Lepisosteus oculatus: one gene and its partners. The protein of the gene in region 4 purifies or fractionates together with the protein of the main gene of each other region. This does not show direct contact. Links are inferred from orthologs where the notes say so. Each region holds a gene or a part of one and is shown on either strand. Other genes may lie near its edges. The genes, in order: myosin-10, plaa, dbt and hdac6.

Region 1 (7,678 bases), on a different chromosome or scaffold from region 4:
AAATGAGAGAAGAAGAACTGAAATGCTGCTTTCATTCCTTGACTGTTTCTTATTTTTGTAACACATTAAATATATGTGTGTGTGTGTGTGTGTCGGGGGCTGAGCGTTCGGGTATTAGCATGTATTAGACTGTCGATTACTGTAGAGAAACAGAACTACAGAACCTTACAGGCCTTTACATTGTTGATCAATGGCACTGTAATATTTTGAAATACATGCCAGGATTTAATCAATTCTTGCCACAGTAAGGCAGAGAACGTAAACACATTTTAAAGCTTTTAAATATATGTATTTAAACTCACACTTTGGCTCCTTATAAAGAAAACTGCAATACAAATCAAAGATTTACAGTAGGTATTATCTACTTAAATGGCATAGGTGTCTAATGGTGTTTGTTTCTGTGCTCTGTAGTGTGAACAGTGATGTAAAATGTTGCTTTCGGGAAAAAAGCACGTTTCTGGCCCCAACACTGTTGCTATGAAACCCTGTCTTGTCAGGTCTAGGTTGAGTTTAAAAATATATTCAATGGAAAACAGCCAAAAGAAAGTGCCTAAGACAGCAATTTAAAATGTTTGTTCATAATGGCATGGATCACCAAAATTTAATTGTGAACATTCAAAATACAACTCTGCAACTTCTTTGAAGTGAAAATGTAATTAAATTTTCAATGCTTTGAAAAATCCAGTTCATTACATCACTGTTTTATTCTTGTTTTCTTTCTTCAATCAAGTTCAATTAAGACTTTAATTTAGTATTCACATCTGATTTCTTATTATGGACATTGCTTCCAAGGCTGTTAGAAAAGTGTCAGAAAAGAATCTGTCATGAAATTAATGTCAAAATACGTGCTTTAGCAGAAACTTTTTAATCCTTTTGCAATTTTTTTCAACAAAAATATATATTTTTTTTATTTGTACTATATTCTAGAAGTGATGTGGAAATTCTGTTACAATTCCAGGTAACACTTAAAGAGCTGAGACTGGGTTTGGTGAAGATTCCATATTTTGGTTTAGTTAAAATGATGTGAAGTCCCCATGACAAAGGATTGTTGAGATATACTGTAATATTGCCAGGTTGTAAAAACATTTTACAGAAGAGTGGTAAAAACAGATCTACAGTATGTACAATCTATGGGAAACTGTGACAGTTTAGCAAATGAAATAAATGCATGGTATATGTATAGTCAAATACTATAGACTACTAGAACTCTGAAAATAGAGTGCCTGATAAGTCTGGTTAACTTCTTCATGGGTTGGTTTGATTACTCTTACTTTGTGAGAATACTTCCAGTCACTGCTCAAATATTCCTTAATACTGGACAGATCATGGAAAGTGCCATTAAAACCTGCCTGACTCTTTGGCTTTGACTCTACTTAGACTCCATAGAAGTGTAAAATTAGGAATTCATTAAGTTGTCTTTTTCCTTGTAGTGCCAGTTCTGCACAGAACGAACAAAGTTCTGAGTTCATGTACCAGGAATACGTTCAGAACTTAATCCTTAGCTAACGCAATTTCTCTTGGAAAACTTGGTATGTGTTTATTATACACTGTGTACTTTATAGTTTTCTCCGAAGTGTGTGAAAAATGGGCGTTGAATGACCAAAATTTTAATATTTAGCTTCATTAATTTTTTTCTTGTTTGTTTCACTATATGTTTTTATACGTAGGATTTCAACAGCACATCATGAAAGAAGCTACAGTATGGGCTTCTTTTTCAATAACTGAATTGTTCATATTGTTACGCATTTTACCTAGCAATATATTTGAAAAATCATTTCCACATGAGAATGTCATGACAGTAAGATCATTAAATGTGCATCTTGAAGAATTATTCAATAAGTATCTTGAACTTATTTGAATGAATAATAAATAATAATAAACTTTATTTTATATAGTGCTTTAAAGGTGGCTTCTCAAAGTGCTCTACATTACACTAGTAAAAAATGCACATCATGAAAGGAGACAGCAGAATTACATAGTTGCAAGAAGGTTTTGTAATACAGTGGGAATACAAAGGGGCAGACACAGAACAAGATAAATAAAAGTCTGTCTTAAAGAAGAAGGTTTTGAACACTGGGGAAGGTGGCTCTGATATCCTAACAGATTGAATTCCAGAGCTTTAGGGAGCAGAAAGTGAAGGCCCTGTCACCCATAGAGTGCAGATGGGCTTGGGGGACAGATATGAGACCAGAATTAGATGAATGAAGGTTGTGAAATGAAGCATACCATGTACTACTCATTCAATACTGAAGCAGTACCTGCTGTTTCTGGAGCAAGTGGGTTTTACAATTGCACCGCATAATGAAACTCTCATGAACAAAAGCTGTTTACACTACTGTATGCGTTGTTGTTCTAAGGACGGGTTCACGCAGTGCTTAAATGTTGTGTTATAGGGAATGATTCTGGTTCGTTGAACTGTATTTTCAAATCTGTTAAATATTTTATATTAGACTGACCTCTGGTGGTTATAAAGGACACCAGAAAACCTGCAATGTAAAGGTGAGTGGAGCATGAATATACAGTACATACAGTATTTAAAGATTATTACACATTCAAACACAGTGCTTTTATAGAGAAAATAGTCACTTTAACTGCTTTTACTGTATGAGGAAGTGCTTCATGTTTTCTGCCTTCTTGTATTAAAAGCAGCCAAGCCGAAAGCTGAATACTGACATCAAAACGGAGATTTCACCACATATAACAGGAAGTACGTCTTTACACATGGGTTTGGAGCCTGGAAGAAGATACCCAGTTATGCAGTTGAAGCTGATAACCTGTCTGTTTTTAATTAAACAGATGGATGAGATTCTTGGATCAATTAGCTGCTAATAACCAAACTATAGTAAATGGGCTGAATGGCCTCTCGTTAGTAATGTTCGTTCTGTACTGTTATTAAAGACGTGAAGAAGCACTGTGAAACTATACAAGTGCCTTGTATATGAATACTTTTTAAAGCACAGTATTTAAATCTGCATTTAAATTGTCATTCTGCAGACAGAATGGCCGAAACACAGCACCAGTCTTCTGCTCATGGTCATAATCAGTATTTTCAATTTTCAGATCATTGAAATTTGGCAGGGGTCTCCAACCCCTGCACCCTTCACAAGAAACAGCTGGATGAGATCGGAGACCCAATCACCTCCCAGCAAGCAAACAAGAGAGGTCCAGATGTACCCAAAAGGTTCTCCTCCCATTTGTAGCCTGAGTCAGATCCTTTGCTTACTTGGTGTTTTTGTAAATTACTGCACTTTAGGAGGAGGGAGAACCATGCACTGGGGCTCAGTACCTGGACTTGTTCGTCAGTGGTGGATTTCTCGAACGCCTCTAAATGTGACGGACGTGCAGAGAGGAAGATTAAGGAGCCTCTGGCGCATGCTATCTTAAAGTCCCCCCCCCCCCCCATGTTGACATGGGATCACCAGCTTCACTGTTTCCGTGGTAACCAAGAAAGCAGTTCCGTTTTTCAATGTCCAAAGTGGAGCTCCGCGTTTAGGAGACGTGTGGACGCTCCGATCCGAATCAGGATCGCACGCGGCGGTAACTCGGGATATCCCGGGCCGCCCTTACCCGTGTCCAGCCAACACAGCAGCATAGTCAGTCTGTAGCTCCAGCTTAATCTTTAATCATCGAAGGTAATGTGGAGCCCCGGCGTTAACGCAGCAGTTAAGGAGCAGCTCAGCGCACAGCATATGGGAGAGTTCAAAGTCCAAAGACTGCAACAATGATAATGATATCTCGATGCTCGATACATGCATGTTAATTCAAGGCAAGTAACGGGCAGGGGGGCCTAGGGGAATAAGAGGGAAAGACCCAGGCGCTCCCGAAAGCTAGAGGGAGCCACATGCACGGCTTCCACGTCTACTGGCAAGTCAAACTAATGATGTCATCTCGCATTAAAACAGACAAAAGGCCGGAGTGGGGGACAAGGGGGGTAGAAGCCCTGGCAAACCCCCCCAAAATTAATAAATACACTTTAAAAAACAAAATAAACCAGGCATGGACTGCGGAACCCCCACAAACACAGCACAGCTAGTTCTACAAATCGCGTATCGAAAAACCCGATTGACACCGCCGATCCGCACAGCGCACCGCAACCCCTTTTCACGTGGTCTCTGCACAATGACCTGCCTGGCGCAACCTAGATATCGGGCCCTCTAAGGGGGGAGGGAAGGGCGGCTGAGCTTTGATGGACGTGATCTTGACCACTGGCTGCGGTTCTTCATGCACAGGCGAATCCGCGACACCTATGAGCTGCACGGCAGGTGGAAGACAGCCGCAGCACGAACTCTTCACCGGCGGTGAGGGGGCGGCAGGCGTTCTAGAGGGAGGAGGGGCGGCGGGGGTTGCCTCTTTTTTTTCTAGCCAATAGGCGCTCTTTACGTGAGGAACGTCTTGGAAGCCGTCCAATAGTGTTACACCTTTGGGCATGTAGGCGGGACTAAGAAAAGGGTTCGGTTGAGGAGTCCGGCTTCTGCGGGGAGGAGGGGGGAACGCTGGGTAGGACAGTATCTCTGGTGCAAAGAAAAGAGAGGAGAGAAAGGCGGAGAGGCAGGCGTATATACGGAGCGGTGCGGAATATAGATCACATTTGCCGAGGAGAACGCCTTATTCGTTTTAAAAGTTGAGCTTGGTTCTTGTCCGACTGCGTCAGGTAAGCTCAAAGGGGGATCTGCGTTATTCCGCGGTAGCTAACGGGATTACCGCGAAGGGATGGAGGTTAATTAGCGTGATCATACTGCATCTGCATTCATTTGCCACTTAAAAACTGATTTGAAGCGGGTTTTCATTGACGCATATTCCCCAAACCCATCGGAATGACAAGACCAGAGAACTATCCGACCCCTTTCCTCTCGAAAACGGATGAAACAACCGTCTGGGCTGCAATGCACAGTGTTGTAGGGGTGCGTTATCGCGGCTACATGGTCGTATTTGTCAAAGCTAAATTCAACTCGTGCGGTTGTATTGACGTGGTATAATCATGTCTTTCGCTGGTGTATTTTTTTTTTCTCCTTTTGGTGGACCGGGAGTGGCGCTCGGGCCAGCATGAAACGCCGAACAGTGGGAAATAATTTCCAAGTGTTGCAAGGGAATAATGTGCAAGATACGTTTCCACATCTTTATGTGGGTAGATAAGAGGAGGTCCCGCTTTTTTGAAAAAAAAAAAATTAAATGAAGAGGGGAGCGTGGTGGTGGGCATCCTAAAAAAAAAAGGGCAATCGCGCTTGAATAACGAGCTGAAATGAAGTGTTACATTGTGCCCGTTAGGATCCGCTGGCGGCTGGGCGGACCTGGAGCAGGAGAGACCACACCAGCGCCAGTCTCGCCACCAGTGCGCCAAACGGCTCATTCAAAGCCCTGGACCATATTTTTACTGTAGTTTATGACCCCTGGCGTTATGCTGGGACCGTGTAGCCACCGAGGTAAACGCGTAGGTTAATCTGGAGCAGCAGCAGCAGCAACAGCAACAATAACAACAACAACAAAACCCCCAAAACAACCGTTTTAGTCACCCGACTCGCCCAACTCTTTTTCTGTAACGCGAGGAAATATCGGGTGACCACGCTAGCACGACGCTAAAAGTCAATGCATGGGTGAAAGGGTTTGATTTCTTTCTTTCTTTCCGTCTCCTCGCACGTCTGCTGTGTCTGAGGCTCTGGTCACTGCAAGAGCTTGGACTTCAGTGGCCTAAGCGGCTGTCCCGGCCTTCGACCTGCCTTGTGCAGTGGACGGGTAGACGTAGCTTTAATGCAGGATTTTCTGATTTTACGCACAGGTTATGCTTTATCGTTTCACCTGAGCGAATTAAGAGCTCTTCCCGTCCGTTAGCAAAATTTGCTGCACCGAAACCTCAGTCTGAGCTGAAATAATGATTGCAATGCGTGCGATTCAAATGAAACCCGTGGAGTTTTTTGTGTGTGTGTGTGCGCGTTCATTCATGACAGATGGGTCAGTCAGTGTGTGTCTGGGAAATGTTTTAACCTGATGGAAACGACCAAGCTTTGGAAACCATAGACGTGTTACCGTCCTGCTTCTAGTCTGGTCTGCCAAGCTTAATTCTGGGTAAACCGGTTCGTCTCTGAACACTGGGACAGTTAACGGACTCATCCATGCGTGGTGTGACGTTTGGGTTAATGAGATGAAGGCTTTAGACATCCAGAGGCAGTTATACCAAGCGATCATGATCTGAACATTAAAGTTTATGACTTCAGCCTTCTTTCTACGCCACAAATGTCTGATTAAAAAATCATAGTTATACAAGTTAATTACATAAAGGAAACAAATCCTGTATATTCGTTTTTGAATGAGATGACGGTTCTAGAGAAATTATGGAGAAATTCTTTGTTGTTTCTGCCTACTTTTGGTCCAACCGTTCTGTAATATCACGTGAAGTTGTAAGATAAGGATAGAGCATTTGCCATTCTGTATGTCTTCACTGACTTGAAATATGCTTTGCCAATGCAGTTTATGATTTTTAGAAAGGAGGCAGAATTTAACATTTCAGAATTGTTTGAATGAATTCATTGAATATTAATTGCATGTAACAGGAAAAGGGAGTGGGTTACGGCCGATTAAATCCAAAAATCCCCTAGTGAGAGATCAGGCTCTAACTTTGGCCATATGAGTACTGTTACATGGTCAATGGATAGAGTTTCTATCTTTAATAAATGCTGTTTGTTAAGGGGATGAAGCATGGCCTCTGTTATTTTTCAGGAGCAGAGTTCCAGTTTGCTTTAGGCTCTGATCCCCGTCATTGGAAACCACCAAGTCGCTGAAATGTTTGTATAAAGTGTGAACAGGTGTTCGGCGACAGTAGGGCCAGAGCTGTGTAAACTCTGGCTGTAATTCATGAGGGACGTCAGCCCTAGACAAATAAGAGCTTTAATGCACCACCGTATATCCCTAAGTATGGTTTTCTTTACAGTATAGGTAAAGTCCTCAAAAATAAAAAAATCTGGGGTTGTCCGGGTTTTGAAGGCACAGTTTGTGTGGATCAGTTAGGTAAAGGCCAGAATGCCTTGTTATAGGGTTCAAAATCGGGTGGGCTTTGCAAAATGGAGCTGGAAATGTCCTCGGTTAGTTTGTGATGGACTCGTTTGACATTTTTGCTCTCTCCCACTTGAACGAGCTCTGTGTTAGCCTGGAAGGCGTCAGGACCGAAGACGGCGTGCTTTTAAATGTTTGTGCTCGGGGTCTGCGGTCTGTTTTATGTAAGGGGGCAGTGGGGTTAAGTAGCTGCCCTTGTTGTTGATAGCGGTGTCCGATTCGTGAGCCATTACGGATTTATCGGTTGTTTTTCCTTCTGCGTTCAAGGTATTGGCCGTGGTTTGACTTTCCCGGGATTCTGTCGGCTGCCGTGAAGGAGAGGGGAAAAGGATCCGTTAGCAGTGTCGAGTCTGTGACAGTCCAGGCATGTGCAGCCGGCGGTCAGATTACAGTCCCGGTGACAGTGAAACGAAACAGACTTCCGCTTTTCTCAGCATGTGGATGGAGGCCAGCCATCGATTAGAAGCTTTAATGGGGGGGGTGAAAGTCAGGATTGCTTAACTTCGGAACAAAAATGTGCTTACGGCATGGATACTGGGATTTCTGTCCTCTCTCCAAAAAAAAAGAAGTCATCTTTCTAAATTCGTTTCACTGTGGGGCTGGGGAAGGCTCATCTTCAAGCAGGACACTTTCC
Region 2 (7,954 bases), on a different chromosome or scaffold from region 4:
GTTGCACTTTACGAACCCAAATAATTTGGAAAATGAAAGGTTTCTGGGACTGTAAAATAATATTTCTTATGTACATTGGTTGCTCAGTTTATGCCTGATTCACTAAATCATAACTTTAAAATTCTAAGTTTCAGAATTTCTCGAATTCGAGCGGCCTGTGTTGCCTAACCAACTGGACTTCTGCAGAAAGAAAAAAAGCTCAGTGTGGGAGCATCTGAAGAGTTCTTCATTCACAGCTATGCTTCCTCATTATGAACTGAAGAGCTATTAAGACCTATTGAAGACGAACGGCTTACAGCTGTGCTTAGTTCTGTAGTTAAAACTACAGAATGACAGCACGAACAATTTCATCACTCTAATAATGATCAATCAATATAAATTATTCAATGTAATGTAATCACTCTGACTAATAAGCAGATCAATTAAAGCCATCAAATATTTTATAAGTATTCAAACTATTTCTGTTCTTACCTCGATTTCATTTTGTCTACTACGAGATACAGTATAAGTAAGCGATCTGTATATACTGTATTTCCAAAGCATCATAATATGACGGACACAAACTCCAAAACCACTTTGTTATCATCATCTTAACTATCTGCAATGTTATGCTGCATTGTAATAACTGTACTAGTTTTGAATAAGATCGAGTTAAAGATAAATACAGCACGGTATATGTGTTACCACAGAATTATTAAACTGGGAACCCAACACTTCAAGCCACATCTGACCTCTGAGCGATCTATACTGTCTTGTTGAATAACAGAAGTAAAAAGGCGCCGTGAGCACGATTCGGGCTGCCATAACCGATGATCCCATGTTGCCAGTAACGAATATATATAACGATAAAAAATATTATATAGTATTTTAAATATATGAATATAATATCTTTGCTCATTCTTAATAATAACCGATGTTATTATAATAACAGCCCAGTTGCTATTTGTTTCGGGTTTACGTTGGCAACTACTGTTGCGACCGTACCTACAAGTATTACTTAATTTCCTCAAGCAGTTTTCGCTGATTAATTAGCTAAATCAAACAATATTTAACCTTTCGTGTTTGCCTTTTAACCATTTACGCAAATATCAACGTGAAGATTTTCTTTTTAATCTATATTTCGAAATAATCGACAAATATCTTCCAAGAACTCGCATTATGATATTACAAAATCATATTCAATTACTAAGCTACCCCCTAACAGCGTTGCAGCGTTTGTATATTTATGGCTGGACTTCACCTAACATTTCATTTTTTTGTAAGGGAATCAAATATATTCTACCAACCTTCATTTTTATGATCAGATTTTTAATACAGTAATTCGATTTTTGAAACATCAGTATACCTCCACTTACTTTGAACTCTGCTTCCCGACAGGAATCTGAGGTGCTCTTCCGTGTTTGGTTACACGACCACCCTTTCAACGGCAACGTGCTGAGGACAAAACACACATACATTGGAGGCTGTCCAATTGCGTGGAAGTTGCTCAATATATTCAGTGGCTCCAAGTTAAAAGGATTGGCTGAAAATCAGGTTTTTCCTTCTGTCAAACGCTAAATAGATCGTGATTTCTGATACAGATACCCAGCTGAATTCTTTACACGTTAGAAAAACCAGTTTCACTTCTCTTTTACCTTTCAAAATCCATGGTGTACTGTATTTGTTCGCCTTTTGTGAGTACTTGTATTTTGATACTTCTGAAAAGATTTATTCAGATTTCCCTCAAGAATTAGGGAAGTTATTCATAGCGTTCTGCACGCACACAATGTAATCTAAATTCACGAAGCCACCTTCAATCTTTAAGAAATTGTCTCATTAAGCAGGCTCCTGTCCCCAGTTTTTCATTTAAAAAAAGACGATGTATACATTTTGCAGATAGATTTCCTCAGCTGCTAACGTGAAACTACTAATCTTTGTTATGGATTGTACATTCACCTCTCAGTCAGTAACCAACACAGGAGTCAGGTAATCTGCATGGTTATCATTTGTCGGTTATTTTAAATATGAAACCAATGAGGTTGTAGATGAGGAGTGTATAGTTAAAACATTAAAAGGTTACAAACAAGAGGATGCCATTTGGCAGATCAAGGCCATTAGTAGGTAATTGATCTGAGAATTTAATGCAAACATTTTTCAACAACATGGCTGGGTAGCTTGTTCCAGACTCCATGATTGTGTATAGTACGTAAGATGTACTATATACTGTATTTTCTAACCTCTTCTTCCAATATCAGACAGGATGGACGAGACACCAGTCCATTGCAATGGATACACAGACACACACTGACACCAGGGCCAACGTTCTCAGAAACCAATTAACTTACCAGTCATAATGCTACCAGTAGTGTTTTTGGACTGTGGGAAGAAACTGGAGCACCCAGAGAAAACCTATGCAAGCATACAGAGAGATGCCACGCAGATAGCATCCAAGAAACTGAACCCAGGACCCCAGAACTGCAAAGCAGCAATGCTTATCAATGTGCCACCTCCATTTTATACATGTTTTGGAAAAATACAATTCTATATATTTTTCTCCCACCCATTGGTGAACTATCCTTCTCAGTTAGCTTTAACCAGACTTACTCCTTCCTCTTCCCCACCCTATTTGAAGGGAAGGGAAGTTTGCCCTCTTCCTCTTTACGGTCGTATTCATCTCGCATATGAGCCTCTGTCTCTCTCCTACTCTAAGCACCTCACCTTCTCTGTAACTAGCATGCCCATGTTCTACTTAAGAGCAATAAACCAGAGAGAGCCTGCAGGGAAAAGGTAGAATCGCTGTAATGTATAAAAATGTTTGTGTTCATTTGATTAATTTATCATTCATTGCTCATTACCTATTATATACTCAAGTGACTGTTGTGTATGAAATAGATAAGCTCACGAATGAGGCATGACGTGATTTAACCTGTCCAATGTCAAGCCTGTTGAAAAAAAAAGAAAGGAAAATACAGGAATGAATCAAAATACACCATTATAGTATTGAGAGAACAACACCTTTGCGCCACCTATATTTCGGAGGCCACCCAATGATGCCCACCTCTGCTGAACTTGCCAGTTGTGGAGCCAAGTTCTCTTTAGCAATGGATGAAGGTTTCCTCCCTTCTTATCCTGTTATAGATGAAATATTTAATTTTTGAAAAGACTGACCATCCTAAAGAACAACCGTCAGTGTGATGCAGACATGCAGAACACAATGGTTGTGCACAATGGACTACTCAATGGGGTCCGAGTGTGATGGTCTGGGCAGGGCAGTCTAGTTACTACTAAACTCCACTTGTAATCATGGATGGCACCCTTACTTCATAGAGCTACTTTGATCAAGATCTGGGATCTCATTTCCTACGAGTGTATCCTGATGTGACATCATCCCATCAGTATGTCCTCATGCTGCTTATGTAACAGCTTTTCTCGTGAGATGAGATATGCGAGAGGTATGCTGTGGTGCCCTTCAAGGCAAATGTGAGCGCTTATGAACAGTTGTGGCCTGTGTTGGCAAGACATTGGTATGACATGAGGTATCTGGGTTCAGAGACCAGTGAACTGGCACATGCTTCTTTGGGCTTTATGAAAGGAACGGGACAGAATTTTACAATAAAGCATTACCTTGTTTATGACAAATGTTAATCAGAATCACAAATTGCCCATGAATGGTCTGCTCAATCAAATGTTACAAATGTTCATTGCACAAGGTGACAACTTTATTTCAGTGTTGTTAAACATCACTCACAGTAGGCTAGGCTGATGAGGAATGATAGCCTAGGCTCATAAATGTTTATTCTTCATTTTCTCTTTTTGAAGTGGATTTCTCCCCGGATGGAGACATGGAGTGCAAATTCAAACAAAAATAAGATAAAGTATTTGATTATTGGCATGCCGTCAATAAGGCCAACCATAGTTCATAATTCAAGGTATAATCCATTTTCTTATTTTATAACACCAACCTAGTATCCTCATCAGCCTAGCCTACTGTGAGCGATGTTTAACAACAGTGAAATAAAGTTGTCACCTTGTGCAATGAACATTTGTAACATTTGATTGAGCAGACCATTCATGGGCAATTTGTGATTCTGATTAACATTTGTCATAATAACAATATTGTTATTGTCATCCTGTAAAGCGCTTTGAGAAGCCACCTTTAAAGGCGCTATATAAAATAAAGTTTATTATTATTATTAATAGTACAATATAGCTTTTGCTTTGATCTTTCCACCGGGAATTTAAGTTTGACTAGTTTCACTAACAAGTGCCATGTAAGTTTGGTTAATGCATCAGGAAGAACTTTGGTGCTTAGCACGCAGTCTTATGTCGCTAATATGCGAATACAGTCCATGTAGTTTGTTAATTGTTTTGTGAAGTGAACAAATTCAATAATACAGTATTCTATATTTAAAGCGAATCGCGTTCTAAATCAGTGTAATCCACATTCAGCCTCTATGCATGGTATTTCTTTAAACCGGTGCATCAATCACACCCCATGTGTAAACCGCAAACTTTCGAAAGTCTTCGTTTTTAAAGTAATTTGTCGTGTCAACCGAATTCCGTATTTTTTATATACCCTCCCAATATGGCCGAACCCGTTTCACCGGTTTCAAAGTCCTTTCTGATTTTTTCGAAACACGCCATTTTTATTCTATTAGCAATCATACGTAATTTAATCTCAATGTACATGTCACTTCAAAATTGCGTGCGTTACATAAAACTATCATTTCGATTCAGTTATTTGTCCCGTCATGCATTGTACCGTGAGCGTCACTTCCTTTTCCAGCCGCACAGGGCTGTCAAGGTGCTGTGTCAGTTCCTTATTTGGTACAGACTAATAATACTTATTTAAAAACGTTTTCTCTTGTTCTTTCGTGTTTATTACTATGGCATCCCCCAGCACTTACCGGCTTAGTTGCTCCATCCCGGGACATGAAATGGATGTCAGGGGGTTGGCAGCAACTCTCTTCCCGGACGGAGCCTTTGTCTCGGTATCTCGAGACAGAACTGCCAGACTATGGATCCCAAACACAAGGTAAATTGCTCACTTTGTGCTGAAGTAATGTTTCTGCGTTTTAAAAGTTTTTTCAGACTGTTTATCTTTTGGTGTTTAATAATTCTAAAGTCTTATTTTCACTTTCGATATGAAGGTGTTCTTTAAGTTTTATGGTAAACGATAGATGACGATAATTTAAAAACAAAATGCTATTCTCGTAAGATTTTGAGTTCGTAAGCGATTGAAAACAATAGTGTCTTTAAACTTTCTACCGGTGAAGCTGAGCCATTTTTTATCTTTAACATTTCACTCTTCAGTCAGTACCTTAAACCATTACATGGATTGGTTTAATACTGAACATTATTTCATTAGATCACAAAGGTATACTTTGAGTGAATCATATCGTTGAGATGTTTGTAAATGGGGATCTCAATCATTTAGATGCTTTTCATTGATATTTCTCTGATTCTCTTAGTCGAGTAGTAACATCCGGTTGGCTGTATAGTCATCCTTTTAGTGTCAGGACCTTGTACAGCTGTTCTTCGGAGTAGTAAGAAGGAAGCTGTATTAGACAATTCCATGAAAACATCTCACAAGTCAAGAAAAGGCTCCTTACATGTCTTGTTTTAGTGAGCCTGAACAAGGGCTTTACAATTTTTAATGATGTTTAAAAGTTATAACCATTTATTCTTTTCATCGTGCTATTATTAAGCTCTTAAACTGTCTGTTTAGAAGCTACGTTGAGTAGTAATTGTAATTGCTTCTGTACATACATTTTTTCCAAAGGATCCCAAAGTGCTTCATATTCCACCACTGAACTGTAGTTTTTATTATGCACAGGCAGCCCTGATACATAACAGATCAGCTGGGGAAGCAAGAAATTAACTTCATCAATGAAAAACATTAGAGAGGCCAGGTTATGCAAGTCCATGTGGAATGTAGCCTGGACACTGGGGTTACAAACCCTACTCTTATGAACTGCCGTGAGATCTTAACTGAGTATTAAATCAGGACCTCAGTTTAATGCAAAGGATGGTGCCTTCTACATCTCAGTATCATTATACAGAGGTGTTGATTGGGAAATTCTGATCTAGTAGAAAGAGCATCATCTACATTTCCACCAACACCATTTACAACAGCATCTTGTTTTCTTTAGCGATCTCCCATTGCAGTGCTCAGCCTCTTAGATCTAAATAAGATCAGGATCAGGTGATAGTGCCACTGCAAGTTGTACTAACACAAGCTAGTTGCTTGATTTTAGAGTTGCTCAACGTGTTTAGTAGCCTCCATTTTCTTGGCAGGTTGTTGTATCTTGTGTTACAAAGTAATCAAGGAAACATGAAGCAAATCTTCAGTGATAAACATTAATCTTTGCTCGTACAAACTAAAATCTAAATCCCCTCCTGCAGGGACATTCATAAAGTCTTATGTCGAAGATTACATGACTGCTCATTTACTTAAACTGGAATCTTAACATTAAAGATGTTGATGATGTTCATTGTTTTCTTGTTCTTTGCTCTTAACTTAATGCTTTTATCATTTTTCTGTGTGTTTAGTCCAAACAGGGGTTTTACAGAAATGCACTGTATGAATGGTCACACCAATTTTGTGTCATGTGTGTGCATCATAGCTCCCAATGATGCCTACCCTCAGGGCCTAATAGCAACAGGGGGAAATGACCACAACATCTGTGTTTTTTCATTGGACAGACCCGACCCTCAGTACATTCTCAAGGGTCATAAAGGCACAGGTAGGTGGTTTCTGCTATTCCATTCATAGAAACGTATTGGAGAAAATGAGGTTTGCCCCTGTCCTGGAAACATAGAGCACAAGGCAGGGCTGACAGCACACAACTACTCTTCTCCTGGAGTGAATGTTAGTTCATTGCAGGGTCATGGTGAAAGAGGTGATATAGTATAGCAAATCAAGCCTCACTATTATTAGTTTAGATGATGCAGCTCCCAGAAAATATCCATGCAAACCCAGGGAGACCATGCACACTCCACACAAATGGTGCCCAAGCCTGTAACTCAACTCTGGGACCCAAGAGCATAGCCAGAGCACCAAGTCACTCTGTAGCCCTACTGATTTTGTGAAAAAGAGAAATCTTAAAAGCCTATAAAGATTACCTGAAGCATGGTTATTGCTAATGGAAACTTTTTTTTTGGATGTGCTATAAAATCAAAAAGATGTATTTAATTTGATGACTCCTTTAACTAGCACCCTGGAAACATATGTGTAAAATATTACAACTTCATTCTGTTTTAGTAGTGAAAGGAAAAACCATGTGTGAACACGGCTTTTGTCTTAATTTTATGAATTTGTATTTGTCTTTAGATGGTGTAAAAGTATATGGCTTTTCCTTTTGTAGACTTCTACTATATATTGGCTTCTTTGTCATTTGGGTTGGCTGCCAGTGTCGGTTAAATTTTATTATACATACTGTTTTTGTTTAGAACGTGAGAGACACAAAAGCACTGTGCTTCCACAGTTATTGACAAGACATTTGAATGCCATTACATTCTTGTAAGAAAATGAATGGTTCCTAGGGAAAACGTGACAACTTCTAGTCAGAAAATAAAGTTTATAATCCAAATCATGTCCATAATTGTTAACATCGTCTGCTCTAAATTGTTAAATTGGACATGAAATTGGACTCCACAGTCTGCTATGAAACCTACTCTTTTAAATAGATAAAACATGCCACCTGACAGGTGGAACTTGGTTTGTTTCTAGGTCTGATTGTTTCATTCTTCATTACATTGAACAGTGTAAGGTTTAAAAATATCTGCATCAAATTACCGTTGCTTTCAAAGGGCTCTTGTATTACATTTGCAGTTTAATTTGACAGCTGTTAAATTTTTTATTCACCTAAATAAGAAATAAAGCGTTCGTTTCTCTTTAATCCCGCAATTAAAAATAGCCATATTACATCAAATTTATTTACGATTTTGGTATGCATAGAAATAATTTGATTCT
Region 3 (8,063 bases), on a different chromosome or scaffold from region 4:
ATTTCAGAGAAAACAGAATGTATTTTAATAAAGGGTGGCCTGGGGAGTCAATGTGTATTGACAGTCAGTAATACATTTACATTACTGATCACAGCGCCATCTGGTGACTGTTTATATTATGGCTTCATAATGCTTCCACTGTCAACTACATCTCTAGCTCTTAAGGGAATGCTCCCTTATGAAGATTTTATACATATATATGAAGATTTGCAAAGTCTTTATTTCAACAGAATAAAAACATTACTAACATTTCAAACTCAATATTCATAAGATTATGAAAGTGCAAGCCAAGGCTTCAGCCAAGGCCTCCTCTGTGAGTGAAAATTGGACACAATTGGCTTAAAGGGGAACTGCAACGCTAATTTTACATTTTGGGGTTATAATGAACCGCCAATAATGAGGGCATTTCAAACCACAATAAAACTACCAAGTGCATGGCAACAATATCCAATTTACATAAGAAAAGAGATGACGTTTTACTGTAAGGGAGCACTCCTAAACTACTGATGTGCTGTCTCTGGGTTACATGGTGTGGCCTAGGGGCTGGCTTTCACCACTAAGATAGAAACAGAACAATAGTTCTGTACAATACTAAACAATACTAAAACAGAAACAGAACAATAGTAAAAACAACAGTGCAAAGGTATACCTCTTGTGTGTGAGAACTGTTTTGGGGTTCTTTACTTTTCTTGTCGTGAAGTGTACTAATTTAAAAGAACATCCCTAGATATTAGAATAACCCACAATCACCGACCCCGGATCACTATGCTCCTGATTTAGAGGCAAGCAAGCTCCATTTGATGTCCTTGTACTGTTAATGTTTTAAGCACTGTGACTTAGTTATACAATGTTTTTTAACCTTGCCAGATCCCAAAATACAGGTAGGAGGTAGCTCCCTCATGATTCACAATGTACACCTGCTATGGATTCTGCACACATAAAAACATCTTCAAGAAGGGCCTTGAGTACAGTGGTTTTGGACAATTGTTGGTTTGGAAATTAACCCTACAACCTCACCAGGAGCCAGAGCTCAATCCCATTTAGGGGCACCTATCTGTGTGGTGTTTGTATGCTCTCATGCTCATTTGGGCTTTTGCCTAAGTGCAATGTGATTGGCTACTATATATAACCAGTTCAGGGGCAATTCAAGGAGTATTAACTCGGAAGCGACTTCCATGCCAGTGCTAACCAGGCCTAGGCTTTCTTAACTGCTAAGAGTTGATAAGATATAAACTGGGATTAATCTTTGAGGCAGGCCCCTTGAAGCATCTATCTTTTCTTACTAGTATACACCAAGCCAGGGGAGTGGAAATATCAACATGAATGCCCACATACAAGCCAACTGTTAATATCTAGATGATAAGGAACAAGTCATAGGTTTATTCCATGCTGAAAAAAAGAAGAAAGAAAACACAACGTTTCGGCCGAGGAGCCTTCATCAGGTGTCACATGGCCAAACTTGTTCCTTTGCAGCCTACGCATGCTGACGTAGCTACCCACCTGAATATCTAGATGATGCCAATGTTAAAATATTAAAAACACTGCCTGGCACAAACCATTCAACTCAACTAATGCTGATTTTACATGCCTCACAAACTCTCCGACGCTCATTTAAGAAGCATCTAATTAGTGCAGCATTCAATAATTCTGAGACAGTCACAGATGTAACGTCACCCCCAAAAAAATTAGATGGTGTACAACTGTGCCACAGCAGAGGAGCCAAAACAGCAGCACTCATCACACCAACACAAGACCCACAACATTCAGGTTAAAAGGGCTCAAAAATTGCTGTGTATAAGATAAGTGAAATTAATAAACACACGATTTCCAACAGATAATTGCTTAATACAGGTAATTACATGAATAACTGTTGCTGCTTAAATCAGGAAAGAAAAAATGCTATTTAGAGGCTGCTGCAAACAGTTGCAAGACAAAGAAAGATCCACCTACCATTCCTTGACGGTGACCTCTGTAATACCTTCTCCTATATCTGACAGCTTAAACTGTACAATTGGTCCAGAAACAACTGCACAAGGGGAAGATAAGAGAATGAAATCTCTCAATAAAACACATATTAATATGAAAAAAAATGTACAAGAAGACTAAATTTAACGCCTATATAAACAACAGCAAATTTAAACGGTACTTACCACTGCAGGTTCTGAAGTACCGGTGCTGCGTGCTGACAGCGACCGAGAGGTGAGGCAACTTGTATTTGTACTCTGGTCTAACAGACTGAAATTTTGAACAGCAAGATCTGTACTGGTGTGCACACCGCTGGAAAACAAACATTAGAATTATACATGCAAACATTTAAGACATTTGTATTGTGGTCTGAAACCAGTGGGTGCACCAGTAAGTTATCAGCTGAAGAACTGGTCATACTTCTTCATACTTCTGGGCAGTGCCCAGCGTGACCGCCAAGGACATTTATAGATAGATACTTTATTGATCCCGTGAGGGAAATTGCAGAATTATAACTGGGCCTTTGGCATTTTACGTCCAATAACAGCTCAACAGCAATTCAAATTTTAAAATCGGACCACGGGACTAGTCAAGGGTACCAAAATCAAAGTAATTTCCGTGTTCGGTATTATCATGCACACGTAAACCGGGAGAAACCTTATTACAGGAGACAGTCAATGTTTTAGTTTTTTTGTCGAAAAAAGTTGTTTGAAAACACTTAAGGATGATATAACCTCCTTTACTGGATACCTGGTAAGTGTTGAAAACATTTTTTTCAACGAGTCTTACGAGACATGTCTTTACGTGTTCAAGAAACATTAATGAGATTTGTGCTTTTTGATACTGAAAAAGCAGATAAGGGAGCACAGCTGAGATATCTCCGCTGCAATTGGTTCTGTCCAGCTTAGGTGACTGAGCGCTACTCCAGCATTATTAACCAGTATGCAACTGCTGATAGAGACTCGGCTTGTCTGCCTAAGAAAGAAACAGACACGCAACCTGCCCACTATTAAAAATGGCTAAAGTCGAATGCAACCTTACCAAGTTTCTCATAAACCTGAATGAGGCTCTCATCGTTGTCACCGCCGCCATTTTTACCCCCAAACCCGAGGCTCTCTCGGAACTGACGACTAGTATCACGCCCCTCTGCAAGGGCCAACCAAAAAGCACGTTTCAGGGGCCGGGGCTTGCGACGGCACTCGATTGAAGTAGGAGGGTGGTCATGTTGGTGAAGGAAACCCTTGAAAATACACTACATCGTTTTAGAACAAGATGTTTCAATGACTCAGTGACTCACGTGGTACCATTTTATATACTGTTCTCATGTCAAGTAAGATTACATAAATTATTGTTGAGGATTATTGATTTACATGCTCTCAATGAGTAGAGATGCCATTTTTGAAACACTCAGGAATGTAAAACTACCACCGCCTGTATGTTACAAATTCAGATAAGATTATCACTGTCATTATATAAAGTTACCTTAAAATCACATCTGTCCTGGATTTCATCTTGTAAATTTGCATTATATTATAATTCATATCTGAATTTGGTGGGCTATACCTTCCCCTAACACTTTGCCCTTGAAATTATATTTTAAAAGTAAATACTGAGAGGACACTGCTGTTGTACTGTTGAGGAAGGTACTTTACTTAGATTGCTTCACTAAAAATCCCAGCTGTATACATTTTGTGTCAAATCCAAATAAAATGTAATTAAATTAACATATTTACACATCATCCTCATGATAATGCCTTCTATAGTTATATAGAGGGTATTGCAGCCACTCCATATATCAAAACTATATCAAAACCCACAAGAACTAATTTAGATTTTTGCATGAAATATCGGCCACCCCACCAGAAACAAATACTATTGCTCTGGAAAAATTTAAAAGGAATAGTATCTAGGCTAATTCATTTTCCCAAAGACATGTTATATTGAGACAATAAAGGAACTGAGCCTTTTTAGTCTTGAAAAGGAAAACTGCAGTGAGACTTTATATACTGTAAATATCAATCCTGAAAGATATTGACAAAATCAACTCAGAGAAGTGTCTTCTCATTTTTAAGCTCTCTTATGTTTATATTTCTAGTTTTGATATATTAAAGTACTAATTGAGGATTGTTATTAACTCTAGTGGTAGATCATAAAAATCTAAAAAAAAGGTTTTTTAGAGGACCTCTATGAAAAGCTTTTAATTTCTATTGTAGCTTCTGATTTTTCTGAATATAAATGTTGTATTTCTACAAGTTCTGAAATTTGATTTAAACTTCCAGAAGTTGTCAATAAAATCTATTCTTATTTCAATATGAACATAGACTTTGATAGCAGTGTTACCGCCTTCTACCCTGATCTGCCCAACCCTCAGAAGTTAAGACAGACTGGGACTGGTCAGTACAAGGAAGGCGGGCCTCTATTGAATACCAGTCTGCTGCTGTAAATAGTGTTAGTGGCCCAGTAGGTTGTGCTACTTCCTCTGGGACCAGAACATCCAAAGGTTTATTACATTGATTTATTAAATTACTTCATTAATTCCACTTCAGGTTAAACATGAAATGAAGGTTTCTTACAATATCCTCATAATACCAGTGACCAGTATGTTTACCAGAGACACTGTCAGATAACATGTTAAACAGGCATCCTGACCTTTAATTAAAGATTCCAAGGCACTGTTGGAAAGCGCAAGGTTGTGACCTGGTGTCCTCTCTAAATTACATTCTGGCCTTGAACTAATTTGGCCTGCCCAAAATTCCTCTTTAATGCAACCATTGATGCAATTTCTTTCTCTCTCTACCTCTACTCTACTCTCTCTCTACTCTGCAGTGAGGCAGCTGTGTCACCCAGTGGGTCTGTCTGGGGAGTGAAGTGGGTCCCCTCCTGTGTGTGGAGCACTTTGAGATCCTGTGGAATGAAGAGCACTATATATTCTACACATAATACTATCTTATTATACTTAGTTATAAGTATAAGTTTAAGTATATAAGTATAAGTTTAAATGATAAAAAGGGGGTAGCAATATTGTTTCTTTTGTTATTTTAGTTAGTTAAAAGAAATTAGTATTAATTTCCTGTTACAGCTATTTATGAATAATATTGTATACTGTGAATGGGTTTGGGTATGAACTAGGTGAACAATTTAATTCCTCTAGGTGGAGCAGTAGGTCTGCAGGCTTGCCCTTATAAAAATACATGATCGTTCCATTGCTCTGATAGAAGTGTAGTTCTAATCTCGGTGAAGTCAGATTTAAGATGTGTCCAACCAATTAAATTACTTCAGGAGAGTATTAATACGATAATTAAATCTTAATTAATTTGTGGAGCTAGTGTGTTCTCCTTGTGTATTTGGTAGTAGCTCATTTCTCCATGGATCTCATCCAACCATTTCTTGAAAGACACCAAGGTATCAGCTTCAACAACATGGATGGGTATCTTGGTCCAAACTGTCACACCCCTTGGGTTAAAGATGTGCCTCCCCTTCTTGGTTATAAACTTTCATTTGACTTCCACTTCTAACCCCAGGTTTGAAGAAATTCAAATGCTTGACACTCAGTGCCTTTGAGGATTGTGCTATATACTCAATTCTTGTATTAGGTCTCCTCATAGTCTTTTCTGTTGAGCCTTTGAGCCTGTCAGGAGAGGACATCCCCTTCAGCCCCAGAATGTTTCTGTTTGCTCTTCTCTTTGCTCTTCCAGCGCTGTGGAAAAAAGCAATAATCGTGCCTATGCCCAAAAAGCCCTGTCCCTCAGATAACAATGACCACAGGCCGGTAACACTGATGTCTGTTGTGATGAAATGCTTTGAGAGGTTTATAGTATCCATGCTGTGCTCAGAAGTGAACACTGTACTGGACCAATATCAGTTTGCATATAAACACCGGCGGGGCACCAATGATGCAATCAACAATTATGCATCTTGTTCTAAAACACCTAGAGGACCCCAATGCCTATGCTCGGATGCTGTTTGTGGACTTCAGCTCTGCATTTAAAATGCTGCAGCTCCATCTATTGATAAGTAAGTTGAAGCAAATGTCCGTTAACAAATCGCAGACAGTATGTCAGGGTCAACAAAACTCTTTCTGAGTCACGATCTATTAGCACAGGTGCCCCTGAGGGCTGTGTTAGCTCTCTAGTTCTTTTCACGCTTTATACAAATGATTGTAGTCAAAACAACTTCATTTTCAAATTCTCAGATGATACAGCTGTTCTTGGCTTAATGCATAGAGGTAGCAGCTCACCTGTATACATGTCAGAAATCCAAAGATTTGTGCAATGGTGTGACAACAATAGCTTAATTTTGAATGCTAAAAAAACAAAAGAAATAGTTTTCGATCCCAGAACAGTTGGTGATCACTCACAGGTAGTAATCCACAACGAACTTAAAGTATCACTCAGGTTGATTCATACAAGTACTTAGGTGTACACATAGACCGTAACCTGTGCTGGTCTACTCATGTTGAGAGTGTTTGCTCCAAAGTTCAGCAGCGCTTATATTTCCTGCGAAGACTAAGAGTGTTTGGGGTTCGACAGGAAGTAATGCTACTCCTTTACCATGCTGTAATCAAGTGCATTATCAGATATGGTATTTCAGTGTGGTTTGGTAATCTATCAGTTCATTTTAAATCGCAAATTACCCACCTCATCCAGACAGCTTTGAAGGTCATGGGGGTGAAACAGCACCCCTCCCTGCAGACAATCTTTGAAAAATACATAATCAAACAGGCAGGAAAATTTTTATCAGATCATTTCCCACATCCTCAACTCTGAATATCAACTTCTTCTTTCTGGCAAATGTTTTAGGGTTCCCAAATGTACAGTGTTTAGTAGTCCTCCTAATTTGGTATAATCTGCAAATGTATGACTAAATATGCAGCAATACTGTAGAAATACTTCCTGAGTATGACCCCTGTCTTGAGTGTTTTGTCAATGGTTTCTGAATAACATCTCCTGTTACCTTGATTACAGTTGGTACATTTTAGTTCAAGTAGGCAGCTGCGGAACAAGTAAAGGTTTATTCCATGCTGAAAAGAGAAGAAAAGAAACACAATGTTTTGGGGGTGGAGCCTTCTTCGGGTGTGTCAGAAAGGGTTATCTGTTTGAAGGAGAAAATAATAGAAAGCATAAGTTTCCTCAAAAACTGTTGTAGAATTAGAAGACTATTAGAAGTCTTTGCGTGTTACTCTGGGTGGTGTCAGAATCAAAGAAAAAAAGTGTTACATTTCAGATGAAATCCTTTAGGAATGACATTATGTCGATGACATCTGTAAAGGAATAGGAGGTGGTTAGAAAGCCTGGTCTTGGAACAGATCGCTGCGAAGAGACGGAATGCTGGTTCGGTGAGAGAAGAGGACAAGTAGCCGAGGGAGGAGGAGAAGGAATGATGAAGAGATCTAGAAAAAGATTTAGCAGAAGTCATGGTGGGTTGCAACAGAAGTAGGCTGAAATAGCCTACCTCACCTGGAGCAGCGTAAAGACGTAAAACCGAGATCCTGACTCTCTGTGGTCATTAAAAATCCCAGGGCGTTTCTCGAAAAGAGTAGGGTGTAACCCCGGCATCCTGGCCAAATTTCCCATTGGCCTTTACCAATCATGGCCTCCTAATAACCCCCATCTATGAATTGGCTACATTACTCTGTTCTCCTTCCCACTGATAGCTGATGTGTGGAAAGCGTTCTGGCGCACTATGGCTGCCGTCGCATCATCCAGGTGGATGCTGCACATTGGTGGTGGTGGAGGAGAGTCCCCATTACCTGTAAAGCGCTTTGAGTGGAGTGTCCATAAAAGCGCTATATAAGTGTAAGCTATTATTATTATTATTATTATTATTATAAAAAGTTCAAGTAGGTAGCTGAGTCGGCATGTGTAGGCTGCAGAGGAACAATTAAAGGTTTATTCCATGCTGAAAAGAGAAGAAAAGACACAACGTTTCAGCTGTGGAGCCTTCTTCGGGTGGCTCCAAAGCCAAAACGTTATGTTTCTCGTTGGTATGTTTTGTTTCTCTGAGATAATATAGGAACAATATTTTTTTTTCTGGCATTTCTTTTAAACAATTTTATACGAATAAAAAAACTATACTAATTTTAAAGGAACAAGATGTAA
Region 4 (7,446 bases):
ATGAAGCTGAAAAAATGCAAAGAAAAAGAAAAGACTGAACAGAGTTGGATGGCTGACCGAAGTGCAGGGCTGGTATCTCCGCTGGTCCGCAGGCGGTACAGGGCGAGAGCAGAGTGTGGAGTGTGGAGCCAGATCACAGCGTCTTTAAACAGCTCCGTCTCAGACACACACCTGAGCTACACGCCCCTGCCCCTCCGGCTTAGTGCACCACAGCCAAATGACATTTAAAAATTAACACAGCTACAGCGCCGAGGGCTATGACTGGCACCGTGCCCAGTGACGCACTGGTGCTCTGGTGCAGCTGGTGCAGGGCTGGACCTGGCCTCAGCTCCACCCTCAGTGCAGTGCTGCCACTGCAGGAGAGGATCAGAGAGGTCACAAAGTCCGGTCCCACATTAGCAATACGGACAAGCAGTCTGCCCCACGATCTCCTCTCTGTGTCCAAGAGAAACCCGCTCCTGCTCTCAGTGCCTGAATCTCCTGCTCAAGTACGCTGGGGTCGAAGTGGAAACCTCACCCCATCAAAGAGCCCTGATATAATGTAATTACAACGTAAAATGTAACTGACATGACATAAACACATCAACTTTAGGTGCATTACTTGCCTTTACCAAAGGAGAGAAATGAGGAGGAATGCCGGCGTTACTGTGTCCGGTTACTAATTGATCCCAGGATCTCATCCAGCTGTTCTCTAAAAGAACCCACAGTATCGGCTTCAACCACACGGCACGCGAGAAAGCGCACTGGAGCCCTTCTCGTGCAGAAGCCCGAAAGCTATTTTTACATGACTAGACCACTGTGCCGTCTTTTTTCAACCGTGGAGCATCCCCACGGAACACTGTTCTTTCTAAACGCAAACACCAGCCCTCGTGTGTCCCCTACAGAAACTATGAAACCATGGCATAGGTATCAGATAGCCTGGGGGGGAGAAAGACGTCACTGGATCCAAGCGACAAACACAATCTGACAAGATACTGTATTCATTATTGTAAACCTATACGTTATGAGATTGTAGGAAACGATTTCTACAAGGGTAGAAACCAGGAGATTCTCTAGCATTTCCAAATTCTGGGAAAAAGGCAAGTCCGGCACCTGTGTCAGCGAGAAACAGCATTCAATCCTTAAATCTTTCTCAGGGGCTTTGCGTGGAAAGGGGTCAAGCTCTCAGCCACCTGTACTTTGTGCAGCCTTCATTCCTGGGCCTCGTGCACCCCCTGCCCTCTCCACCTGCTCCGCCTTCACACACTCCCTCTCCGGCAGAGCTCCGTCCTGGAGTTACCTGGGCCTGCCTCCCGGGCCAGACGTGGCTCGGCCACCAGGTCTCGGGGCAGAGTGCCTCTACAGCAGCGGAGCGTTTAATGAGCAAGCGTCTGGAAGGGCAGAGCTATCCATCAGCCAGGGTCGGGCAGGGGCACAGGGGAGAGCCAATGAGAGGGGCTCACACAGACACGCCCCCACACAGTCCCCTGCTAGCCACCTCCCTCAGTTTGACCTTCACATTCTAATTGTCATCGGAATTAATTAGTAACTGTGCACTCTACACAGCCCTGTCTCACCACAATGAGAAACTGCAGAGTAGCCGTTACATGATCAAGCACAAAACTCCCCATCCATGACGGGAACACTATACTGTAAAAAGGCGCTGTCCTTCGGATGAGACGTAAAGCCGAGGTCCTGAGTTTTTTTGGTTATTAAAAATCCCAGGACGTTTCTTGAAGAGATCGGGTGTAAACCTGGCGTCCTGGCCAAATTTCCCCCTGGCCTTTACCAATCATGGCCTTCTAATAACCCCCCTCTCTGAACTGGCTTCATCACTCTGCTCTCCTCCCCTCTGAGAGCTGCTGTGTGGGGAGTGGACTGGCGCACTGGTGGGGGTGGAAGGGATCCCCATTACCTGTAAAGCTCTTTGAGTGAAGTGTCAAGAAAAGCGCTATATAAACACTGTGTGAGAAATTATTAAGAGAATGATGGGCTCCCCTGAGTTACACCTCTTCCTCAGACTGTGCCACGCCCACCTACCTTGGATGAGGAGCCTGGTGACTTGGGGGAGTGGGAGGAGCCTCGACGAGACCCCGCCTCCTCGGGATTGGGTATGGAATCCATGCTGGGACAAACTTCCTCAGGCACTGGTTAAAGACTGCAGAGCATTTAAAAGTATTTATACAGGGTTTTCATTCAGCAGCTCACGTACTGACACTGATGACTCATAGGGGGTCATTTCTGCGTGGGTTGTATAACAGTTTGTAGTTTGTAGTTTCTAGTTTCTGAGGCAAAGCATGGATTTCCTTTCCTATAGTTGCATGACAGTCTGTGAGTTTAGCTAAAAAACAAAAACTTATTTATTATTTCAACATTACGCTCCCACCAGAAAATAAACATTCTGAAAGATTCCCAGAGTTTGAATTACACTGTCTGGCCACGTTACAAAAGAACCGAACATAAAGTTCACTCAACGGCAGCACAAGTGACTCTTCCTACTGAATTAATAACTTGAATATGTCTGTAGAATTCTTCTCAAATTCGTTACTGTAAGGCGGAACACAAAAGCGCTCGATCTTAAACAGTCCAGTCCGGGGTGTTACTGCTGTACTCATTTACTACTGTAGCCAAAGCCACACGAGTTTTAAAATAATTAAAAATAGATTGAAATTGCGGCTAATAGCCACATATTTACGTGCATGTTGTAACCCAAATAAAGACAATCATCAATAACAGTATTCGAAAAGAAACTGTAACGGCTAAGTGGGAAGTTAATTAAGCTACTTCAAGTGGACCTTTTCTGAACTGACTGCACATTTTAGTTCTCGATTTGTCGCCAAGAGAGACATTTTCTATTACGCTCCTACGGAAAAGCCGAAACAGTGTACTGTTTTATAGTTTGAATTGCTTACAGGTGTGCTTTCTTCAAATCGCAGATGAACTGTCGAGATGCTTCAATCTTCATTCAAAAGTCGCTGCGCTCAGCCGCTCTCCATCCTCAGACAGACACCCACCGGGGCGCAGGCTGATGACGTCACACCACCCACCTTCGCAATGCTACCGTTTTCCTCGGTATTTGGAGACGCGGATCACGGTGTCACATAACTGGGAAGGGGGGCAGCTTTTATTACTGTTACAAAATAAACGATAGGGTGTTGTCACATTCAGTTTTGCGAATGTGAAGCTTTTGGCGGGATTTTTTTTCGTCAAGCCAATAAAAACAGGTCCGAATCAAATTGTAATTGGCTCCGCTAACGGTCGGTAGATGTCGCCCAAACTACATCCTGCAACTCTGCAGCAGAATTCGCCACAAGCCTTAATCACCAATCTAGTGGCTACAGTCTGTTGTGTATTAATCGTAACAATGCCAGAAATGTCCCTCTACACTGCAGGGGCCTATAAACATGCTTTTCATCAGGATAGAGCAATGGAGAGCCCATCCTGGTGCAAAGTTAGGGCAGAGCAGACCTCATGATGATGGGCAGCACCCCCACTCCCCCTCCCAAACTCTAATGCCTCCTACCAGCAGTAACTGTTACACAACAGCAGCCCATGAGAGGCAGGGAGTCTGAGAACAGGCCGGGACTGCGATGGAAGAGATAGCCAGGCTTTGAAGGGAGAGCAGAGAGCAGCCGGCCCTGCGTGGTGATAAGGCCTGGGGGGTCGGGTAGGCCAGCAGTGGGCGTGAGGAAGCTGGGGGGGTGGGTATGAGCTCATACTAGAGCTTGGGGACTGGACTGGCAGGCCACAGTCCCTCCACACAAAGGCCCTTGTTCCCTTATAAGCACACAAAAGTACCAGACAGCTCTATATCTGATGCAATAGAGGTCTGTTCGGAAAAATAGAGGAAAAGAAAATATGCCCTTCTCCCTTCTGCATTTTCGTGTTCTTCTTCTCTATTATTTGTTTAGAGGAGACATTTAAGAACTTGAATACCATATTGGTCTTTGGAAATTTTCCTCCTTTCAAGAACATTTCATGCTCTTGAACTGTTAATTCTTCCCCTTCCCCTCCCTCCTGGACGTGTCCGTGCATTTGAACTGGATATTGCCCACAGACAGAAAAATCCTGGCCCAGATCCTACATCGAAGCAGAATGCTTTTAAAAGTCATCTTATGCCCAGTCAGAACAAAACCCACGAGAGCCAGCGACTCTGTCCGCAGAGAGACTTGGCCACCCTGACCCTTGAACCTTGACCTCTGGCCTGCAGGGGTCATCCAGAAGACCCTCACACAGGGACATTGATGCATCAGCTTCGCATCAACATCCCCTTTGCTTATTTTCAGCCACCATTAATCCTGCAAATAGTTCCCTGATGGAATTCCAGCTACTTCCAGCTAAAAACATGACACCTTTTTTTTTTCCAGCGGTGGTTGTACAGTAGCTGCTAAGTTGTTTTGGGCCCTTTTAGACATATTATACCCCCCTGTCCCAGAGTCTAATGGGCTTGGACCCTCTTGTCCCCTCTTTGGCTCTCTGCAAGGAGAGGCGAGAGCCACACCACACTGCGGCCTCCTCCTGGCGCAGCGGGGGCCAGACAAGACCCCCAGCTGTTTCCAGCCCGGCGGGGCGGGGGCTCTGGGTGTAGAGCACTCTGGAGGAGAGAGAGAGACGGAGTCACTGCGTCCGCTGGGGGAGGGGGTGTAGGAAGGGATGGAGCGGGGGCCATGAGCGCACAGCAACTGTAACAGACAGCGGGAGAGGGAGAGACGGATTCAGGCTCCAACGGATGGGCCCGTGTGTCCGCTGGGCCCGGGGCTGTGGTTGCTAATCTCTCGCCCTCATTCGCTGCCGCTTCCCGAGCCCCGCGAGATAACCCTGTCCGCAGGGCAGAATTTCTTTTTTTCAAAAACCCCGACCCGTCTGCCGTGCTGATAAACGAATAAACCAAACCACCGCCCCCCTCCACGCGCACACACAACGGTGCCTCAGCGTGCCTGCGTGGCCTTTTTTTCATGAAGGTCCGGAAAACCAGAAGCCTGCTGCGTTGCACAATGGGGCTCCAGCCAAGGCGTCAAACCGGAGAGCATGTGGTCAGCAGCTGTCAGGGCGCTGGAGAGAAACAGGCCTCTTTTTCCAGCCTCCAGCTGCACAGATGGCGGGAGAGAAGAGACAGAGGAAGGCAGCAGGGCTCCAGTGGGCAACCAGGCAATGCCATTGCAGGCCAGACTGGATTCCCTCACCCCCCACAGCTCCCCAGTTTACTGGGGCACCCCGATTTCCTTCACTGCAGTCCCTCATATTCACTCCCTCCTGTGCAGACCCATCATGCTGCTTTCTCACATTCTGGAGTGTCTTGGTGATGTTCAGATGAGCAATGCACAGCTTGATTCCAGTGACTGCCACCAACTCTTCCCAGGACTGTCTTCTCACCCCCAAGAGCACCCAAACCCTGGAAGATGCTGCACCTTAGTCCGGAGCACTAGTGATGTCATTTACTGTGGCCAGACTGGGGCACAACCGGAAGACAGCCTGCGACACTACGATATCTGCTGAGGGCGCACTGGGATCCGTTACGGGCCGGCAGCAGTTTCTGGACTGGCTCGAGGGTGACTCTGAAGTGAAGAGGAGGGAGCAGTCTGAGAGAGGGGTCTGGAAGCTGGGAGACTAGCTCTAGGCAGCGGAGAGCTGACAAGCACGCATAGGGGTCCTTAGCTCAGCAGGTGCGGTCACAGAGGCGTCCAGCGGGAATGCCGGATGCATTGGAAAGCTATCAATCCTCTCTCCTTGGGCTTTCATTCTAGTTGCACCTGGCATAGCTAAAAGACTACTGCTTTCTAGGTCAATACACACCAGACTCCAGAAATGACACAAAATGACCTCAAATGATCTCAAATTCCCCTACGCCTCTACCAGCACAGGGGCTCCAGTGCTTTGCTCTCAGCAATTAATTAATTAACTTAGAGCTCATCTGGAATTAATATCAAGACATCCATCAGCCTTCAAAGGACAGTGTGCCCTTCATGCAAACATCACTCACTTAGTTGATCAGTGGCTGAAACACATGTTCCTCATCTTCAAATAACAGGAGAATCCGGGTGACCAGTAAGAATAACTGGATTGGGGATCTGCAGGACCTGGGTTGGGGACCCCTGCTTCAGAGTGTGAATTTGTCCACCGTGCTCCAGCAGGGAGACTGTCCTCAGAGCCTGGAGGCCATTTCTGTGTTTGTGGGGGCAGTGGAGGAGCTGGCCAGCTGTTTCTCTCTCTGTTTGACACATCGGTTTTCAGGGGTTGAAGCAGAAGCCTGAAATAGAGCCATCACAACCCACAGCCCTCGTCCCCTCCCTCGCTGACCCTGTGCTGTGTGGGACTCATGTCAACCGAACTATGCAAATCATTTTTTATTTCTGTTTTTCAGTCTATTTTTCGTTTGTAGATTTATTTTTAAAGGTGTTTTTTTTTCACTGCCCAACAACATCTGGCTGTCTCAAAACGTTTTCTCGCAGAAAGAGTTAATAAGAAAATAAGAAGGTGCTTAGAGATAGCCCTGCAATGAATAAGAACACTGCTGTGTTGGACAGAGAGTACATCAGAACACATTGTTTTAGAATTTAAATCAAGAGATATATGTTAGAATTGTATAACACACCAGGAAGACTTCATTTAGATAACCGCAGACAATTCTGGTCACCAGGTTGTAGAAAAGGTATCTGGAGTCAGTCCAGAGAAGAGAATCCAGAAACATTCAAGGGCTTGAAGGGAAAGTCCTGCACTGACAGGCTGAAGGAACCCAGCCTTTGTCGATTTGCACCATGAACCTAATATTCACAATCCTCAGAGGCACCGACAGAGTCAAAGCCAGTGGTTTTCTCCAGAATAAGCAGAGAGGCACGCACCAGGAGTTCACACCAGTGGAAACTCCATGGAAGGGCATCCAAAGCTGAGAACAGGAGGCACTTCTTTTCACAAAGGGTGGTGGGAGTGTGGAACAAGCTGCCCAACCCATGCTGTTGGGTCTGATACTCTCGTTGCTTTCAGGAATGGGCTGGATGAGATCAGTTCTGAACAAAGGAGCCAAACAGGCTGTATGATCTTCTCTCGTCTCTAGCTCCTCTGTTTGTATTTCTCAGTAAACTAAGGGCCCCAGGGGCTGAGGCAGTGGTTCCCAGTCCCTGCCCCGGTGACCCACACTCCTGCTGGTTTGTGTTCTAGACGAACCCACAGATACACCATCAAACCCTTCACTGACTTAGCACTAATCAGATGAATCTGAGATGTTTGTTCCCAGCTCTTCAACGTCGTAGTTTGTTAGTGCAACAAAACCCCAAACTTGTGACTAGGAACAAAACGCAGGTACTCAAACGAAGCAGCTTCTCAGATCAAGGAAGGCTTCAGCTGTCTAATTGAAGGGGCGCTGGAGTGAAAACCAGCAGGTTTGTGGGGCTCACCGGGACCACGCTTGGGGACCACTGGGTTAAGGCAAGGAAAAGAGACCAGGAGGCTCACAGACTGAGCCTGTATCTC

Evidence for each region.
Region 1: the proteins of hdac6 (region 4) and myosin-10 purify together in Homo sapiens (affinity purification with mass spectrometry; 3 studies listed by BioGRID, with this or other methods). This does not show direct contact. The link is inferred for Lepisosteus oculatus from reciprocal best matches to the Homo sapiens genes HDAC6 and MYH10.
Region 2: the proteins of hdac6 (region 4) and plaa purify together in Homo sapiens (affinity purification with mass spectrometry; 4 studies listed by BioGRID and IntAct, with this or other methods). This does not show direct contact. The link is inferred for Lepisosteus oculatus from reciprocal best matches to the Homo sapiens genes HDAC6 and PLAA.
Region 3: the proteins of hdac6 (region 4) and dbt purify together in Homo sapiens (affinity purification with mass spectrometry; 3 studies listed by BioGRID and IntAct, with this or other methods). This does not show direct contact. The link is inferred for Lepisosteus oculatus from reciprocal best matches to the Homo sapiens genes HDAC6 and DBT.

What each region holds. Positions count from the first base shown.
Region 1 is NC_090704.1:43,882,067-43,889,744, reverse strand, and holds the start of myosin-10, read left to right. Parts: upstream 1-4,482; 5' UTR 4,483-4,651; intron 4,652-7,678. UniProt on the Homo sapiens protein: Cellular myosin that appears to play a role in cytokinesis, cell shape, and specialized functions such as secretion and capping. Involved with LARP6 in the stabilization of type I collagen mRNAs for CO1A1 and CO1A2.
Region 2 is NC_090696.1:33,098,733-33,106,686, forward strand, and holds the start of plaa (phospholipase A-2-activating protein), read left to right. Parts: upstream 1-4,752; 5' UTR 4,753-4,865; coding exon 4,866-5,014; intron 5,015-6,531; coding exon 6,532-6,725; intron 6,726-7,954. UniProt on the Homo sapiens protein: Plays a role in protein ubiquitination, sorting and degradation through its association with VCP. Involved in ubiquitin-mediated membrane proteins trafficking to late endosomes in an ESCRT-dependent manner, and hence plays a role in synaptic vesicle recycling.
Region 3 is NC_090704.1:19,332,104-19,340,166, forward strand, and holds the start of dbt (lipoamide acyltransferase component of branched-chain alpha-keto acid dehydrogenase complex, mitochondrial), read right to left. Parts: upstream 3,116-8,063; 5' UTR 3,058-3,115; coding exon 3,007-3,057; intron 2,278-3,006; coding exon 2,151-2,277; intron 2,027-2,150; coding exon 1,951-2,026; intron 1-1,950. UniProt on the Homo sapiens protein: The branched-chain alpha-keto dehydrogenase complex catalyzes the overall conversion of alpha-keto acids to acyl-CoA and CO(2).
Region 4 is NC_090697.1:75,338,655-75,346,100, forward strand, and holds the start of hdac6 (histone deacetylase 6), read right to left. Parts: upstream 3,008-7,446; 5' UTR 2,892-3,007; intron 2,138-2,891; 5' UTR 2,104-2,137; coding exon 2,020-2,103; intron 1-2,019.